Drosophila melanogaster: one gene and its partners. Changing the gene in region 3 together with the main gene of any one other region gives a genetic interaction. Each region holds a gene or a part of one and is shown on either strand. Other genes may lie near its edges. The genes, in order: CycD, mam, Rbf and rpr.

Region 1 (5,286 bases), about 15 Mb from region 3:
TGCGTAGGTGTCACTCAATAGATTTTACTCTATTCATCTTATTTGTAAGCACTTGGTTACTTCTGGTCTTTGTTATTTACTTATTGTGTCACTGGGTTTTTTATGATTTACATAAATGTTTATTGTAAGTTAATAAATTTAAATGCCTGGCTTGTACGTCCTCAACATTTTTCACATTACGCTGTCTCACTAAACAGAAGGTTTATTGTGACTTTGTAGGTCCAGGACCGACTCCGTGAATGGATCAAATATCATGCGGCACGGCATTCATGGCACTACTTCATTCAATGTATATCCTATTATAAAGTTGCGTGGGCTTGGCACTGCGTTTGGCATTTCCAGAATGTGGTATAAAGGTGTTTATAACGTCCTGCGAAGTCCCCTCGCAAATGAATGCGATATTTGGGACTTTGTTGGCATTTATGTATGTATGTCATGAGCACCACACACGCGAACATATGCATATTAAACACAGTATTATTAAACAAAAAGAACCTCCTGAAACTTTGACACTTTTCGATTCCAATTAGCAAGTGGCGGGCGAGAACAATTGAATCAGCTAATTGTTCCACACACATTTGTGTGGGTAATTTACGTGAATGAAAAATTATTTTCGTACAGCACGTCTCTTGTCTTCTTCGGGAATATAACGAATATAAAATTTCAGGGGATTACAGCATCCCTCTGACGGAAAGCGAAGTCGGCGGACGCGAGTGTTCCACTCAACTCTCGTGTGCTGTTTCAAAGTTTTCTCTGAATCCTTAAGCTTTTTCTGGGAAGCGAGCTTTTGTCTGTGTGCCGAGAGTGAGGGTAAATTAATTTGCAACAACTAAGTTAGCAAAATGCGAACCCAATTAAGGATTGTATCATTGAAAGCATTCTCCACGCTGCAGTTTTTCCTAAAAAACAACAAAAAACTGCAGCACCGAAATTAGGACAATGGACATGGAAGTCCATTTTAATCTCGATGTGTACATATATCGGTACATCATTTCTCGGAAGGGATCCACAGGTTACTTTTGTTTATCATTAACCTGGCATTCCTAAGTCGCGAAAGCTTTTTACCCTTTTATCAATATCTTATTAATTATTAAACAAAGCAGCAAAGATTATATCTTTTTTTTACAATTGCTTTTAGAATTTTTTTAGTGAAATTATTTTAGGTTTCTTACATGTCTTACTGTTTGTCATCTAAAACTGTTTAAGTACAACCCTAAAGAAAATAACAGCAGTTCAATGCTTTTTGTAAGCGGTACAGGATCTTTAAGTGCAGCATTCATTTATTTACGACTCTTTCGAACAACCTGCCATTTAATCAACAGGTTCCGGCCATTTAAACGGAATTTAATAAGGGTGTTTTGATCACGATTCAACCTAGTAGGGTGATGCCAGTGAGTTTTGCATTACTGACCATTTTGTCGTGGACCACGATCGTTAAATGTATGACATGCCGAAAGATCGACTGTCAGTACCATCCTTACATGAATGCAGGGTGGCAACGCCCTAGCATATTTTAGTATTTTTGATTTTGCTGGAGTAATTGGAACACTTGAGTGATGTGAAATTCACATCAAGAGTAAGTTCGTAAGATCGTATAACAAAAAGCTTATTTAAGAAAAAAAGTAGTGCAATTAGAAGAACTTTGTTTTTATTATAAGGGTAAGACCCTTTTATAGTCCATCAAACCCATTGATGGATTATAAGTTTTTAATGTTCTAATAACAACCCTAAGTGAAACATATTTCACAAGCAACAAGTTGGAAACGCAATGAGGAGGTTCCCCTTTTCAACGTATTTCGCTTGCCTTTCATTGCAAAGGATAGTACTATACTAATAACCGATGAAGATCGATATGTTTTACTGATCGCAGTGAGCAAGAGATATAACTCCGATGACGGCATGCTGAACTAGTTTTTTTCTGCCATAAGGTGTAACTATCTGGTTCACATAAATGCTTTGTCCACGCCGGTTAAGTGGCAAACGTGTGCAACTTCGAGTATACTTTTTTAATAGTTAATTTACATTACTCCATGAAGTGCTGTGCCGTTTGTATATAACCAGAATTCCGAGAATAGGCGTAAGTGAAAACTTTTGTTCTCGAGCTGATCGTACATAGCCATGCATGTACATGTACATAAGTACATAGTGTGAAATGAACGAGTTATTTCTGAGCAGGTCGAAAAAATATGTAAATAATGTAATGTGCATATGAATAAGTCAAGGTATTAGGGTTATATGCTATACTCTAGTGCTCCCACAGGACTAAACACATATGCCCGCAGTGTGCCCATACTTGAGCAAATACTTGAATTAAATGTGAAAAGAAGGTTGCAACATACATATGTATGTATGTACTTATGTACGATCATTTCCTATTGTACGCAGTGTTCCCATATCGGAGTTACCCAAAGTTCCTGATAAATCGGCACACATAAATGGCTTGAGAGTGCGGCGATCCATAGAATCCATAGCTTTAAACGGAACGTATGGCCGATATAATGGATCTTTTATGCTCGGAAATCATAGTCTACGAATCAGATCCATCATTGTATCGTTTGAACAAACGACAGCAGCAAATGTCCTCACCGGCGATCATTCGGGATCAATCATCGATATGTTCATCCTTGGGGGACGCGGAATCCGATTCCCATCCGGATGCCCAGAACAATGCCGTAGTGTGCAATATGAAGGAGCTGGTGTATATATACGCGTCCGTGGACTCGGCTGCGAAAAATCCAGAACAATTGGAGCCGCCTCCGCCACCTCCACCACCGCCGCCACCACCACCGACAGCGACCCAATCAATCCAAAGTTATCCGCGTTACATCAGCCAGGAGCCACCGACGTCACATTGCCAACGACTCGACGAACGCCTGACCACAACAGCCGATCCACCCGCAACCGACAACGTGAACACTGCCATCGGGGATCCCACATTGTATTCGGATCGGTGTCTGGAGAATTTCCTCAAGGTCGAGGAGAAGCACCACAAAATTCCCGACACGTACTTTAGCATCCAGAAGGATATTACGCCACCGATGCGCAAAATTGTCGCCGAATGGATGATGGAAGTGAGTAATTAAACGAAATGTAGATACAGCATCCAAATCATATCAAGCTAGCCGACTGTGATATACGCATTATTTATAATCTGTTAGAAAATATTACCAAATAGATGGAAGTTTCCAAGAACTTCATTAATTAGTGTTTGTTTTAGTAGTCCTTATCGCACACCCATTACAATATTTTGACTACCCTTTTCGTTCATTAATTGAATACATGTTCACAGGTGTGTGCCGAGGAAAATTGCCAGGAAGAGGTCGTATTACTGGCATTAAATTACATGGATCGATTTCTTTCGAGCAAATCAGTACGCAAGACCCAGCTACAAATTTTGGCCGCAGCTTGCCTCTTACTGGCTTCAAAGCTCCGTGAACCCAGCTGTCGTGCTCTTTCGGTGGATCTACTCGTTGTTTACACGGACAACAGCATCTACAAGGATGATTTGATTGTAAGTACCTTTCTCGTAATACAATACCTTTCGGTGAACATGCGGTTTCATTTCATTCCCAAGAAATGGGAGCTGTATGTGCTAAGTCGCTTGGGCTGGGACCTCTCATCTGTGACTCCCTTGGACTTCCTTGAGCTTCTGATGATGCGCCTGCCGATAGGCAGCAAAAACTTTCCGGACATAAACATTGGCAAAGTGCGGGGACATGCTCAGGCATTTATATCGTTGGCAGCAAAAGGTAAGCCATATACAAAACAGTCCAACTTAAGTACTGACTTCCCACCCCTTCCTTTGAAGAACATAAGTTTGCCAAGTTCTCGGCCAGCACCATAGCTGCATCGAGCATAGCTGCGTCAATGAATGGCCTAAAGTGGCATCTGCGATCGGGACACAATCTACACTTCCTTTTGAGTCTGATGACCGATCTAACCAGCGTGGAGCAAGTGAGTATGGCAAGGGAGCAGTGTTGTTATGTACCACCACTCAATTGATTTTAAATGCACAGGCTCAGGTGCGAGATTGTATGCTGCACATGGAGGACATCTTTAAGGAGCACAGTCGGAATCTAGAGCCATTTCTAGTGAATATTGACCCAAAAGAAATGTCAACATTATACTACAAGAGGCGCTTCCAAATACATCAATCGCAGCATCTCTCGCAAATCTCAATTAGACCCTTGCCGCTACCGAAAGCTCCTGCCGAGTGCGTGGAGCAACACCAGCAGCAGCACAACTTTGGGTCCGCAGCGCCACATCGGACGCACACGTGCAAGATGCAGGCGCAGGCTCAGGCTCAAAACGAGATACAAGACGTTACATTTTGAGGTGTCAAATGATAGTTATGCATACATGATAGTTATGTCAGGCTTAAGTTGAAATTATATATAGGATCCAAATAGTCCGATCACTATAGGATTGGCCAATATCACACTATTTACATTTGAATCGATGTATTTTATATGTACGCAACTATTTTTTACCAAACTATGGGTTATTATTTTTAGCTATCCTAAATATTTTGTATAAAATAGTTTTAAATAATCATCATGAAACTTTGAAATGGATGAAACATAAAAACGAGACTGATTGTAAGCAGCAAAGCAACATTTTTTTTTTGTATATAAGCTTTTCGAAATCCTACACAGATAACCAAAAAAGAACGAACTATTAAATGCAATTTTTTTAAAAACCATCCAACATAAAGAGAAAAACAATATGTTAAAGTTAACTTTGGATAACAATTATATAAGTTGGCAAATAAATGATAGAAAAAAGCAATTTCTTCTCTGCCCTCTATGATGTATGTATATTTTCGTATAATTTACTTTCAGATAAATCGCATTAGCTTACCAAACGAATCCAAGTAGTTAAAGGCAATGCGAATAATTTAATTTTTCTTTATTTTCTTATTAACAAACGTCTATAAACAAGAATCGTTAAAGACCATAACCTTAACACACACATAATATTTATCATTGAATAGGTTTTTGTATAATTTCTTGCGGACATTGCGTTGCTAAATAATATTTGTTCGCATATAATTCATTGCTCTGAGGATAGTTTAGTTCATACAAGTTTTTAGAGTGAGTACATAGTTCGATTTTTTTTTTACCATCAATGTAGAAGCATTGTAACACTGCAATTAACGATTTTCCTTTTAGATATTTCTTCGGTTTTTGTTTTGAGCTTTAAAAAAATACTGGCTTTATTGCATTCCTGCACTCGTCCGCCTCCTGCACTGCGATTCGAAATATCATATATGTACGGATATATGTA
Region 2 (4,863 bases), on a different chromosome or scaffold from region 3:
CTGACTCAACGACAAAATATGCCACAGAAAAGGACGGCATTAGAGCGTCGAACAGAGATGGCAGACGCACAGAAGGAGATGGAGTTGAAGACTGGAGCCTCGGGAGATCTCTCGTATCCGAATAAATGCAGAACATGGTGCGAAATATTTAATACAAAAATGTTGAAAAGGAGTTTGGCCTGACAAAATAAAGCACCACACTAAACCATGTACAGTGAAATGTTGATAACTTAAACTGGGATTACTGCATATGTTATTCTTTGCATAAGCTGACCTTAGAAAAACATTACCCTGTTTCTTAAATGGAGAAAGTAATGGAGGAGCTTTTAAAAATTTCAACATCAACATATATATACTACAGTTATTTTTTATTTAATCAAATCCACAAATTCACACCCGGAATGAAATTTTTTTTATTTCAAGAATTTTAAGATTGAAATGGTATGCATTTATTTTCTTCTTATTGTAGTTTTTTAACTTAAGTGAAATAAGGCTTATGTTATATGGATTCAAAAATGAATGAATACAGGAAATTCCATGGCGCGCAGTTCGCGATACGGAGGCAAACCTGTAGCAGCCAACTGCAGCAGACGAAGCGAGGTGAGGCCAAGTAAACCTGTTTACAGTTCAAACTTCGCATTCGATATATTCGATGTGAACTCTTTTTTGTTGTGCCATAGTAGGTATGTTCGTCTGGCAGGTTCTGGGGCTGCTTCTTCTTGGCCAACCGAGTTGTTTTAAGCCACCTACGAAGTCGAAGCTTAGGCCGGGTTATCTTCAGCTTAATTGGGTCATTCACACGCGCCACTTGCTCGTCGATAGAGATGGATATACGGCTCCAGAGGGAGATAAAGATACAGCTGGAGACACTGCTGAAAAACACACACAACTTTTTCAGCCTAGCAACAACTTCCGGTGTCTCAAAGACGAAACGAACAAGAAACTAAAGACGAGGCATACATTACATGTTAGACCACTCGAAGACGTACATATGCGAAGACGGGGGCAAAACAAACGGCGGCGAACAGAGGGAGATACATGTATGTAAAAAAAAAAAAAGGAAAGGCAAATAATACTGTTTATCAAGTGATGAAAAGCATTTAAAATGTCGAGTATGCCAGGTATTGTGTTTAAATGCATGCCCTTCGTCGCATTTCGGTTGGAATGCATCTGATATTGGTAAGGAGAATGTTCAAAAGACATAAGCTGAATGCTGTTAATAATTTTAAAAATATTTAAGCAATAAATGCATATATTGCATAATGGCATTAAAACAAAAGGCAATACAGAATTCTTTATTTGAATATTTATTTTGATTTTTGGAGTTACAAAAAACTAACGATAATAATATAAGATGGAATGTTTCGTATACAAAATACAAATAATAAGATCCAAAAGAAATTTATAAATCAATCTTAAAAAACTCTTTAATATTCGAAAGAATTAAAATTCTTCTTTCCCCAAAAATATATATTGAAATATTTCTCGAATTGGTTTTAAAAAAGAAAATTCTAGTATCTTATAGATTGAAGTAACGAAACAACGGTAGATCTCTCCCACACTCAATCTTTTCTACCTACAAGGATCAAACGAAATCAAAGGATCAACGTTGAAGAAGAAGCAGAGAGAGAGAAAGAAAGAATCAAAGACAGGGCAAAAACAAAGTCATCAGTCCAAAGACAAAGGCAAATAAATGGAGAGACAAAAGAGACGGCCATAAAAACTCAACCGACAACTTCTGGATGTGCGAAAGGGACGGCAAGGGTAGAGCGAGAGGTGTGTGCATCCATCATTTTCTAGGCGATGCAAGCAAAAGCAATAGCAACAACCACAACAAACTGCAGTTTGGGCTTAGGAAATTATTTGGCAATTCCAAAGCCTCGAAAAACTGGTCTTGATCCATTTTTAAAAGCCGAGCTTTGACTCAAGCTCCCCTCAAACATAAAAACATCAATCATGCGAAGTTCTACACGAAAAGCGCTTCAAGGTCTTATCAACATGAGAAGAGAAAAAAAGGCATATGAAAACCCGAAATAGAACTGGTTTTGAAATGCAAAAAGCCACCCACACGAAACTAAAACGCTATAAACTAATTAGGCGATAAGAGACTTAACTTACTTACCCAGAAGCTGTGCTGATAATCCAACTTGATTTTGATTTCCTTTGATTTGCTATTTGCTATTTTCCATTTGTTATTACTGTTGTTATTTCAACTTAGCATTTATCCAATGCTTTGAATTTTAATCCAACTGCAACAACAACAAGAACGGCACAATTTTATTAGCTGGCCAATGCAACAACAATCAAAAGAGCAGAAACTCTCCGCTCTCCTCTCTCGATGTCTTCGTGTATGTGCAAAAATCAAAACAAAACACGGCAAAAACACTTATAACTCAAAGAGAGCGAATGAGAGAATGAGAAAGAGAGTGATCCGCTTTGCTTTTGTTTTAGTTTTTAGTGACTGCAACATGTTGAATGTGTTTACTCTTGCCCTAACGGTAAATGCTAGAGCTGCAGTTTAAAAATCCTCTGCTCGTCTCGAATTGAAAATCAAAAATTTACACGCGGCAATTTTCTTTTGCATCACAAAATCCACAATCACTCACACGCACACACAAACACACATATATATATATATATATATATATATATATATATATAAACGCACACCTTTAAAAAGGACGCTGTTGAGGGTTGCATTTTATGTTAAACATAATATTAATTATTTGCTTACTTTTATCTCACAATGCACTCTTAGAAATTTCCACTGTTATGTTATTCATGTGTTTGCATAAAACTGGAGAAATTAAACACGGTATCTCAACAAAAATAAAAGAAAGCCGCCAACAAAATCGGTTATGTTTGACTTCTTTTCACTTTGATATACACCTTAATTCATTTGCTTGTTCAATTAGCATGCACTCCTTAGTTATTTGGTACAGTGTATTTTTTACGAGAGTTCTCGACAATTTTCGAGCGCTAAAACAAAGAAACCGCGCTCGATGATAAAAACCGCGTCCGACTGCCGCTGTTTTTTTGTTGTTTTGAGAGGCGCTAGTGGTGGAACGATGGCTGGGAAAACATCGATAACGCTATCGATCAAGCGATTACTTATCCTTCTGTTGCTGACGATGTTTTCCAGTTGAATGTATGGCAGCACTGCTTATTTAGTCACAAAAATTATATTTGAATTAAAAAGCCGATTTTGTTATCAAGAAATAAATTTTGAAGTGAAAATGTTTTCCACAAATGTTTTAATTCATTAAGTGCCACTTGTCGCAATTAAGTAACTGAATAGGTTTTAAATAATAAGTAAATAAATATCATTGTTAAATATTTATAAATGAGCATTCATTTGCAGCTTTAAATAGATAAACATTTTACATATTTGTACATTGACATCACAAACATTTCAACTAAAATTTAAACTCGTATAACATTACGCTAAAGTATCGCTTAAATATTGGCTCGCATCCCTGGTACTCTTGTTACGTTACGTTATTCGGCAATTACATCAGTCTGGCAACTCTGGCCCTCACACACACTCAGTCGCCCCCCAAATGTATCGGAAACATGCAGCCGAGATAAAATAGTGAAAAACTAGTTACCAAACATAACCGATCAGTGCGGATAATAAGAATTGGCAATTCAAAATTAAATGGTAAACGAACGTCGGCGCGATTAATTAAACTCAACCATAGGAACGCGGAGAGAGTGGCCAGTGAAAGCCAGAACACTCTCTTTCGTCGGAGCGTCTGTGTGTGTGTGTGTTACGTGTGTGCGTATGTGTCTGTGTTGACAAAATACAACAAATCGCAGCGAAAACAGGAAGTGTACGAACGATAAAGCATAAGATTGCACATTTCGCATTAAAATAGGCGACAAAAACCCGGGGGCGCATGCAGATCCACACATTTCTGGCCCACTCACACTCACACAACGCAGATCAGGGGGCGTTTTTCTAGATCAGTGACCAAGTCTTATATGGCTTTATGTTTTGATGCTGCACTAAATATGGGTGAAACATCACGTCATTTATGCCACGCTCCTTCTCCAAAAACAAAGATCATGTTGATTTCACTGCATTTGAATATATATATATATATATACAATAGTTAATGTTCGTGTGCGTCATTCGCTCATCAGCTATATAGTATACGAGTGTTGTTATTGTGGATCGCTTTCGCATGTTAATGCTTTTGTGTGTTATTTTTTCCATTCCATTTTTTTTTTATCAAAGTTTCGCGCTATCGCCCAGTCAGCTCAGAAGCAGCCGCTCCCCAACTGAGAGCACAGAGAAACCAGCTCTGGCCACTTGCTCCTCCGGATCCGGCTCCTGCTCCTGTCCCCGATCCCCTCCCCCACCCGCCAAATCCTGATCCTGCTCCAAATGACTGACGGCGAACAGCAGGAGGCGCTGGTCAAGCGGGCCGAGGACGAGCGCGAGGACATCTTCCGGCGCTACGAACTCGGGCTGGATCCCAGCAATGTGGTGGACTCCTGGGAGAATCCCACCTTCGAGATCTACCACAGGACAGACAAGTGAGTAATATTAATCATTCGCCAGAAAAAATCCCAATAATGCCATTGATGCTCCCACAGATATGGCTTCTTGCACGACTCGCGGCTGCCGTCGACGCGTGATGCCCAGGAGGTGCATCGCAACAAGATTGAAATGGAGCGGGACAAAAAGTGGATGAAGATGCTAAATCAGTGGCCGCCGCCCCAGGATAAGCTGCACAAGCGCGTCTACAAGGGCATACCGGATCGCGTGCGTATGGTGGCCTGGAATAAGCTGCTCGACATCCAGCAATCGATAAACAACAATGCTGGCGTCTACCTCCGAATGCTGCAGCTGGCCAG
Region 3 (6,565 bases):
TCGTGACACGAACATCAAGAACAACTCGGCTGCTCATCACTGGTGTGCGCTCTGTTCCGAATTAACGGTTGTGCTGCTTTCCTATTGGTCAATTGGTAACTGGAAAGATCGAAAGGGCTGCCAGCTGCAGCTTGCTAGGGATTCTGTTGGCCTAGTGTCTGGGACCCGACAGTTGTCTGCGAAAAATGTTGCCCCGTCGTAAATTTTGTCAAAAATTTGTGAATTCTCAGTGGCTGAACACCAGGCAAACAAAAATTGCCACATAGGGCAGACATCATAAAGTAACTAACGGTTTCTCCCCATCTTTGGCTTCCTATTGGTCGAATGGGCTGACTGGAAAAGCGTAAGGCGCAGCCATCTTGAAAAGGATCAGCTGTTTTAGTTAATTTGAGCGGCCAGCTAGCACCTGTTACTGTTTCTGTTCGCCTGGTGCCTGAAACTTGTAAAGGTGGCAATTTCGACCAGAGAAATTACGATTTTAAACATCCCATCCTTTGTACGACGACGTAGATCGACTACGAAAATGTTTAAATAAATACAATTAACATCAATTTGTAAAAAGTATATTTGTATATAAGCTTTTATATATAATGTGGATTGCATTAATTTGATTTGTTTTTTTGTTAGTGATTTTTAAATCGCGGGGAGTCGCGACCGATGGATGTGTGTGTGTGTGGTGATCAAGTATTTAGTACAACTATTTCAAAGTATTGGGTTAGCATATGAATTATATGGTTGGCTGGCGTTGAGCAAAATTAAAAGATGTGCTAAAATAGTTTGTTGAAATTAAGTTAAAATGTCAATTTAAGTTTTAATATTTAAAAAAAAACAATCATAAAATAGTCGAACGTGCGCCGGAGGGGCCAGTGTGTGGCCTTCTGCGCCGAATTTTTAGTTCTTGCCTTAAGTCTAGTCTGCCCCCATAAGCCCCGTGTCTATGTCTCGTGTTCTCCTCCTTCGCCCCCTACGCAACCTTCCGTGGTAACAGCAGTCTGCTGCTCGGCTGACTGCAGTTCAGGGTCGTCCATGACGGCCTTGACCTGGCTGATTTTCGAGCGCTTCGTCTCTGCCATTGTACCTAGTCCGGGCTCGTCGCCAAAGCTCAGCATGCGCTTGCCGCCGCGTACCTTTTCGTTCATAGCCTGAAGGTCCTGCGGGTATAGCAAGCGGATTAATCGATGTTATAGCTGAGGAGGTGGACGCAACTCCGAAATATTTACCTTGGCGGGGCTGCGGCAAAAACTGTAGACCATCTGGTTGGGCGACTGCTGTATCTCGTTCTTGGACATCTGCGACACGAACAGCGAGTGGCTCTGGGTTACCTTCTTGGGCTGGGCGGCCCGTTCCTTCGGATGCGGGGAGAGCTGTAGATCCGAAGCCCGGCCACTCACGTCCGGAGTTACGTTTAGGTAGTCGATGACGAACTGCCGCATCAGCGGCACGTAAGTGTGGTTGTAAAAGTGAATGATGTCCTTCACCTTTGGCTCCCCGTCCTCGTTGATGTCGATGAACACCTCGCGGTAGACGCTGTTCACCGCCTGCGGCTGGTTGCGATATGCCCGCATAATGTCACTGAACTTGGGGTCCTCCATTCGCTTTACCTGCGGGTTGTAAGGAGTTGCATGGATGTTATAAGTGGGTCTTCAGCTGCACACGGACGAATGCATCTGATTATGTGCATTTCAAAATGTATGCCAGCGAATCGGACAGAGATAGAATGTGGATGTGCTACTCACTCTTATGTAGATATATATTGCACACATAATATTTTGATCGAGGTGGCGGTCCTTCATCAATTCCGTCTCGTGGGTGATCGAGTGCTCAAAGATGTGCCAGATGCTCTCGGGCGTCTTCTCGCACAGTGACAGCTCCGAGCACAGCTTCTGGATGCGCAACCAGCCAAGCAGGTACACCTTGCGCAGGAATATCTGCAAGGGGCCGGCGGCGCGGTCGAGGTTAACCATGAGCCACGTGGGCAACGGCAGTTGGGCGGAGGCGATCATTTCCCAGACGGTCGAGTTCCTCGCCCAGGCCAGCCGCTCCAGACACGTCTCCTCGATGGAGTTAAGGTGCTTTATCAGCGACCGGTTCAAACAGCCTTCGTGCGAGCCGTGCCGCACCACGATCTCGATGATCTTTTGGAACTCGAACGCGCTAATACTGAAACAGTCGAGCACCCACGGGAACTTGAGCTCCGTTTTGTAGGCCTCCAGCACCAGCTCCACGCAGCAGGCCATCAGCGTGATGTTAAAGATGACCAGGGAGACCTTCTGCACCAGCAGTCGCTTGAGATCGATGTCGGGCTTGTTCCGAATTTCCGCCTGCAGGATCTGGTCGAGCAGGTAGAAGAAGAAGGACTTCGCTAGTTGGAAGCGACTCTTCGCCTCCGTTGACGGGTACTTGGCGAGGAATTTCTGCTCGATCTCCTCGATGATGCTAAGCAGCTTGGCTATTACCTCTTCGCCAGCTTGCCTGGATAAAGACAGGGCGATATCAAAACATGAGCTATAGAAATCAATCCCGGATTTAATCTAATCGATTCTTCTTACATCAACAGAAATTTCTATGGATGTGTGCTTCGGCTAACGAAATTCGATATTCGATATTTCCTACGATTTATAAAGCAATCAAATAAACATGAGTTTTGTTTACACGACGCCAACGACTTTCAGCCATTTGGACATAGAGATAAGCCTTTTCTCTCTCACAGGTTTTGAATGATAGTTAGGAACACTCGACACCCAACCCAAATACAAGGCCAGCCGGCAACTCACTTGACAAAGTCCGTGGGTTCTGTGATCCGTCCGAAGGCGCTCAGCTGCTTCACGTTGTTAGTGGCGTTGCGGACGGGCTCAAATTTATCGCCAGCCATCGCGGGCTGCGCAGGCAGATCTTGCTTGCGGGTAAGCGGAGTAACCGGCGGACGCAGGGACTGGTCGTTGAGGGCAGTGTGTTCCCCCGCATCGTAGGCACTCAGAATGCGTTCGTCGAATTCGCCGACGCTGAGGACGTACTGCTCGTAGCTGATGTTGAGGGACTTTAGGTTGCGCTCGAAGTTTTCGTTAGCCAATAGGCCTAACATAGTGTCCTTGTTGCCGTAGATGGTCTGGTCGAAATGAAAATAGAACAAATTAATTGTTTTAATGGAAATCCGAAACGGCACTCCTACCGAAGCCTGAAAGAAGCTCGACATGATCTGGCGGAAAGTGGTGGCCTTCATGGCTTTAGCCTCCTCGGTCATGTCACAGAAGTTGGACAAAATGCAGTGCGGATTGTGACGAAAGTCCAGCTCCGTCCAGTTGCTCGGCAGGCCCTCGAATTTGGGGTTGATGAGATCGGTGCGCTTCTCGGCCAGCACATTGTTGTATATCAGGTCTATGCAGCAAATCATCAGATTGTAGGATGTCACCAGGTCCACGGTGTTGCTCGGCTTCTGGTTCTTGGCGCAGAGAAACAGGCGCCAGCAGATGTCGTCCAGCTTGATGTACGAGCACTTTCCGTGGGCGTGGTTGCCATGCAGAGAACTGTTCCAAAGAGGGAAGCTTTTTATATACACGGGGTCAGGCTGACATGATGATATACGCACATGTACTTGGAGTGCTTCTTCTCGTTGGGCGGGCACGAGAAGATCATGTCCATAATAATGCGGAAACGCTTGTGCAGCATGAATGTAATGCTGAACTTGCGGTCCAGATCCTCAATCTCGTTGACAAACTCCTGAGGCAGGTTGGCCATGTCGCACCACTGCTTAATTTTGGTCTTGAACTCGTAGATGCTGTGGGTGGGGATTGTGGAAATGGTTAGGTGTGAAACTGCAGGCATAAACGGCAACCCACCTCATCTTGCAGCAGCGCAGCAAATTGTTTAAGGACACACAATTACCCTTGACCACTGCATTCTGGCCAGTCACCGTGGGTGTGCTGGTTCTTCGGCAGGCCGTGTAAATGGCGCAGCACATCCAGTGGCTGGCTGTGCCCTTTTAGGCAGGCAATGCACAGAAAGAATGAAAGAAAGGACGTTAGGTTGGAGGCTACTGCTGCCACTTCGAAGCTCACCTCCATGGAGCACCTCTGGGACACCTCTAAGTACGTCTCGTAGCCCTGCAGCTCTGTCTGCCGATCCATGTTTAGATCCCGGCATAGGTTCGTGTACTCGGCGTTGATCATCTCCAGGCGGTCGTCGCTGGTCGCCACCAATCCGCTGACCACCTCAGCTCCCAGTTCCTGCGGGTCAGGCTCGCTCATGTCTGCGAATGATGTCTCTGTCCCGGCTGATTGCGTATGCTTGCAGCGGCGGCCGCTGCTTCTGGCGACAGCCTGGAGTCGGAAATCGGAGACGGAGGCGCCTGAATTGGAGCTAGCCGGCTAACCGGGGCGTTGCGGGCCTGGCGCCGCTGTTTACGTCTAGTGGCCTGGCGCCTAGTGGCTGCCGGTGTATGCTGCGCTTGCCGCCGCGCTCCTCGCGGACATGTAACTGCGAGAGCTTACACTTAATTACAGAAATAATGAAGTTTCCCGCCGAAATGATTTGGGCGTGTGTGTTTGTGTGCGAGTGTTTGTCGCGTGTGTGTGTGTTCGCGATACACCCTTTTCTGAGGAACACAACAAAAGAGCAGGCGAGGGGACAGAACAAACAGCGCTGGGATGCTGCGATTAGCCAGGACCACACCACGGCCACGGTTGTTGGTTAAAACACATTAACAAAATAACTATTTCACAACTTAATCGCCATGGAAAACGCGGGAAACTTGACTAGTTGCGGCGGGCAGGTGCGTGTGATCCACTCCGCGTTCGAACTATCCACTTCTAGGGCTGCGCGGACGATGTGGCCCTAGGGATGGACTTGTGCAGAAGGAAAACTAATTTATTGCCACTACTTAAAGATTTTGCAATTGCGATTGCATAGTCAGAGTCTGACACGTTAATACAAGTTAATGGATTTTTAGTTGGGCGGCCGGTATTTCGCCAGCAAAGCCATGCGGTCACACCGACGCGCGCATTCGGCCAGTTTAAACGTGGTGGGGTGGTATTACTACAGTGCTTGGCGAGTTATGCAGTGACTGCAAGCAGTATGTCGTGTTGCATACATACCTAAATTGGGGGACCCTAAAATGAATTAGAACGAAATAATTGACAAAAATATGTGTACACATATAATTTATTTGCAATGCACAATGCTATTTGCATGTGTGCGGTAAACTGACAGTGTTGGTTAGCGTTCAAGAGCATTGCACATCGGCGATATAGCTAGTTGTAATCGATAGCCGCAAATTTAAATACTGCTTTGAACTTTATGGAAATTCGCGGGAATTCTTCGCGATTCAGCTACTAACATACATACATATACACTATACAATTTAGAGAACTTGCTGTCGCAGCACATACGACCCGAGCTACGACGTGGCTAACGTAGATACCGTCTTCTGAACCTCCTGGCCAGGAGGTGGAATAGCATGTGTCGCCGCATAAAGGCCGCCGTCAGACCTGCCGCCGTGGACAGCTCGTGGTTTTCTTGAGAATCGCTGGCCAGACTGGAGCTCTCGAAGGAATTGGAGGAATTGAAAGAGTCAGAACTCTCTGCCTGCGTATTCTGATCCGCACCAGTTCTAGCACTTCTCCAAATGGGTGTTGAAGAGCCGTCGGACTTACAGCCACTGGTGTTGGTTCTGGAGTTCGGGATCTGGGTTCTGTCGGGATGCTTCTCCAGCACAAGGCAATGCTGTCTTTTGAACGGTTGACTAGCAGACACACCGTACTTGGCTATCGCGCGGTTGAGCTCAGGATCGGGGATGTATGCACCGCGCGACAAAGACTCCGTTTTTCCGATCGATTTTCTTTTGGAAATATACCCGCTGACATATCTTTTTGGTCTAGAGAAACGTCTCGCGGAGGTTGCCTTCTCAATAGTCAATTTCCTCGCGGAGGTTGCATTGTCAATGGTCAAGTTCCTCGTGGATTTTGCCTTGTCAATAGTCATTTTCCTCGCGGAGGTTGCCTTCTCAATAGTCAATTTCCTCGCGGAGGTTGCATTGTCAATGGTCAAGTTCCTCGTGGATTTTGCCTTGTCAATAGTCATTTTCCTCGCGGAGGTTGCCTTGTCAATAGTCAATTTCCTCGCGGAGGTTGCCTTGTCAATAGTCAATTTCCTCGCGGAGGTTCCCTTGTCAATAGTCAATTTCCTCGCGTTGGTTGCCTTGTCTATAGTCAATGTCCCCGCGGAGGTTGAGTTGTCAATAGTCAATTTCCTAGCGGAGGTTGCCTTGTCAATAGCCAAGATCCTCGCAGAGTTTGCCTTGTCAATAGTCAAGTTCCTCGCAGAATTTGCCTTGTCAATAATCAATTTCCTTCGCTCCGCCTCCTCCGTCTGCAAAGTCTTGTGGTGCACCTCAACGCGATCCACAAGATTCTTGGCCGCCTTCTGATCAGCTAAATTCATCTCTGCACGCACCTTGCGGAGAGCAAGGCAGTCAATGATGCTATGACTCTGCCAAGTGACCTCCAGGTCGGCGGGGATTGGTGTTCCCTCTGACGCCAAGCAGCCCTGACTCGTCATTACTTGTTTCTGG
Region 4 (3,054 bases), on a different chromosome or scaffold from region 3:
TGGAAAGTGACTAATAAAAACGTGGTTTAACTTTCTACAACAAATAGTTTATATCAAAACTAAAAATAATGTGGTTAAGATTCTATTATATGTAATACCGATTTATAATTATATTCGTTCTACAATAATTCAAGAAATTAGCTTGCATTAATATTATTATAACTAAATTATTATTATTATTATAATTATTATTATTATTATTATTTCCGGCAATATCAATCTTAATATTTTATTAAGATATATTTCAAAGCGGACTCTGTCACCGAACGCCGGAAATCAAATGAAAAACTTTTTCAAAACAAAAAAAAATCTTTAACGTTTCCTAACCAAACACATGTAAAATAATTTTCACAACCACCGATAATTTCACTGATTATTAAACAGCCTTCTAGAAAGTTCCTTTTACCGTCGGCGAAATGAAATAAAAAATGTGCTTGTTCCAAACTCAGTTTTTCGAGACATCATCTTAGGCTTTCTTCGCTTTTTGTATCTAAATCTTATAAATGGTAATCTGAAAATATTTAAGTAAATGAAAAACCAACAATTTTTTTAGTTTTTGTTTTTGTTTTATTGACTTTTTGTTTGACAAAAAATTGATGCAATTTTTAGCCAACTTCGACTCATCTTCGTTTTTTTCTGGGGTTTCTTCTTAAAAAAAACTTAGAAAAACTCGTCTTACAAAAGAACTTACAAACTATTACAGTAGTAATTCATTTAAATAGGCTTTAAGAGTAAATTATTTCTAAAAAAGTTGATTTATATCATTGAAACATTTTTGTAAAAAATTGGGGACTTTATAAAAACGTTATTTTTTCAAATTTTTCCTCCGCTTTTTTGTAGAAACAAAACCATTATCACAATCGCTTTGATGAGTAAACTAAAATTGGGTGGGTGTTGTGGCTCTGTGTCCTTGACTGCAGTAGAAATCGAGTGCCGTCGGCTGATGAGTGGTGACTGTGTTTGGGTTTTGGGTTGGCTCATGCTTATTTCCTTTGTACTCTGGATTTTGGACTGGACTATTGGTTTTCCCCGTATTTGTTAGTTACTCGAATCCTCATTGCGATGGCTTGCGATATTTGCCGGACTTTCTTCCGGTCTTCGGATGACATGAAGTGTACTGGCGCAGGGTTTCCAGGACGACGGTGGCCAGGAATCTCCACTGTGACTCCCGCAAGCGAAGGATCTGCTGCTCCTTCTGCTCCGCCTCCCGCAACAGAGTCGCCTGATCGGGTATGTAGAATGCCACTGCCATTGTTGGTTTATCTTTCTTCTCGTTCGGAATTACACAACTGGTAGTGACTCAATAACTTTCTCTTCTGCACAATGAATATTTATCGAGTTAGTTCTTTGTTGCTGGCGCACACACTTTTCTTTCGTATTTTCGAGTTCGTTCACTTTGTTCTGGTGTCTCTCTTATTCAATGATTTTTTCGAGATGCGTTCGCTGCGATGGTTGCTTTTCAACTGAATATATTGAGTAGTGCTCCGAGGCTATTTATACCTGGTTCTCTCACGCCGCCTTGTTCTCTGTTTTTCTGGTGGTGGCTGCTCATTTTGGCCTTCTTCGCTCTTCGGCTCTCTGGCTGGGGTTTTTTTGTTTTGGTATTTCTGTTGACATCGTCTCATTCGCAGCTCCCAAAAAAGTACTACTTTTCATCGTGAGCGGGGGCGGGGCCACCTTGCGCCTGTTGCCAAGCGTGTTTTTGTATGAGGTTGTGTTGTTGTTGCCAGGTTGGTGGCAGCGCCTTTGTTGTAACTGTGTGCGGCGAGAAGTACAGTTAGCATATTAATTGTATTAAATCGTCGGGGCATGACAATCGTTTCTCATCAAGGAGTTCGACAGAGAAAGACATACAAGAGTTGCTTCACGACTAAAGTTTGGAATACCCTCTAAGATTAACATTATTTACACTAGCTACCCATTAGTGATTAGCAACTAAACTAAGCCGGATACCTGATAACAGCCAAGTACAACCATCTAGCCGGTTTCATATTAATCCTTCGAATTTCATTTCTTAAATATTAAAAATATTTATTTTCATCTATGTCAATCAGCAAAAAGTCCTTTTAGCTATTACCGCCAGTATATTTTCTATAATATGATTAAATTCTTGAATTGTAATTAATAAGAAAATTCCAACTAAAAATGATGGAAAAATAAAACCAATATTTTTTAGGTTGGACACATTGATGCTATTAATAGTACAACATTTAAAGTACAAACTATTTACATAATTAAGCAGAATAGCTTCTTGTAAGGGTATTATAACAAGTGGGAGGCGGATTCACTTGAAATATGGGCAAGTGGGCAAGGAAGAGTTCCGTTCCATTTCTTGAATTATTTTCTCTCTTTTCCATGGACCAGCCCACCTGCCATATCTAGATAGATCCCTCTTTATCAGTATCTCGCGCTCTACAAGTGTTTACACAATCATCCGAAGCTTCCGACTAAGAATTATGACAATGTCATAAATTAAAGGCCATATACAGTATATTGACAACAATGGGCTCGTCCCATTATATTTCGTGTGCAATTTTATTCATTTTCATTAGAGCGGAACCAGACGGATATGATATGATACGATATGAATGTTTTCGTTGGAAATCATACACGAAAATTTCCCTGCGGCTTAAAGTATTATTAATTGCCTTCCTGATGGATATGATATCCGAACAATGTATTCTTCCAACATATAGGAAGCTTATTGAAATTATCTTTAATAATATATATTCTGCATTATTATATATAGGTCGTTTACATTTTAAATCTCAACTGAAACTTTCTCTTTAATGACGTAAATACATATTTCATCATTTTTCATCGTATCTAAGTCGGATTACCCATAAACATACTATTGTTTTGTTCTTAATTTCGTTATGATGTTTAAATAAATTTCATATATATATGTAATAGAAAATTAGCTCTTGAAACTCCACCTGCATAATTCTAAAATCTTTTACCCCACCCAAAGAACCGCGATGAGTTTTAAGTTCCATTCAAACTCCACCCACAAAGCCGTAGTACCGTAATACCGTACCCACACACAGGCAAACA

Evidence for each region.
Region 1: of Rbf (region 3) and CycD, changing one suppresses a phenotype caused by changing the other (phenotypic suppression), as found in Drosophila melanogaster (3 studies listed by BioGRID).
Region 2: of Rbf (region 3) and mam, changing one enhances a phenotype caused by changing the other (phenotypic enhancement), as found in Drosophila melanogaster (one study listed by BioGRID).
Region 4: of Rbf (region 3) and rpr, changing one suppresses a phenotype caused by changing the other (phenotypic suppression), as found in Drosophila melanogaster (one study listed by BioGRID).

The regions. Positions count from the first base shown.
Region 1 is NC_004354.4:15,906,322-15,911,607, reverse strand, and holds CycD (cyclin D), read left to right. Parts: upstream 1-1,931; 5' UTR 1,932-2,498; coding exon 2,499-3,071; intron 3,072-3,289; coding exon 3,290-3,511; intron 3,512-3,574; coding exon 3,575-3,749; intron 3,750-3,808; coding exon 3,809-3,954; intron 3,955-4,016; coding exon 4,017-4,334; 3' UTR 4,335-4,786; downstream 4,787-5,286.
Region 2 is NT_033778.4:13,989,364-13,994,226, reverse strand, and holds the start of mam (mastermind), read right to left. Parts: upstream 3,025-4,863; 5' UTR 2,735-3,024; intron 2,250-2,734; 5' UTR 2,123-2,249; intron 1-2,122. Other genes in the region: RN-tre (uncharacterized protein), read left to right, coding at 4,391-4,542, 4,603-4,863.
Region 3 is NC_004354.4:796,542-803,106, forward strand, and holds Rbf (Retinoblastoma-family protein), read right to left. Parts: upstream 4,939-6,565; 5' UTR 4,245-4,938; coding exon 4,056-4,244; intron 3,977-4,055; coding exon 3,837-3,976; intron 3,776-3,836; coding exon 3,587-3,775; intron 3,525-3,586; coding exon 3,170-3,524; intron 3,107-3,169; coding exon 2,775-3,106; intron 2,473-2,774; coding exon 1,737-2,472; intron 1,602-1,736; coding exon 1,221-1,601; intron 1,152-1,220; coding exon 936-1,151; 3' UTR 549-935; downstream 1-548. Other genes in the region: CG13359 (uncharacterized protein), read right to left, coding at 5,404-6,565.
Region 4 is NT_037436.4:18,396,984-18,400,037, forward strand, and holds rpr (reaper), read right to left. Parts: upstream 1,453-3,054; 5' UTR 1,253-1,452; coding exon 1,055-1,252; 3' UTR 552-1,054; downstream 1-551. UniProt on the Drosophila melanogaster protein: Activator of apoptosis, as well as grim and hid, that acts on the effector Dredd.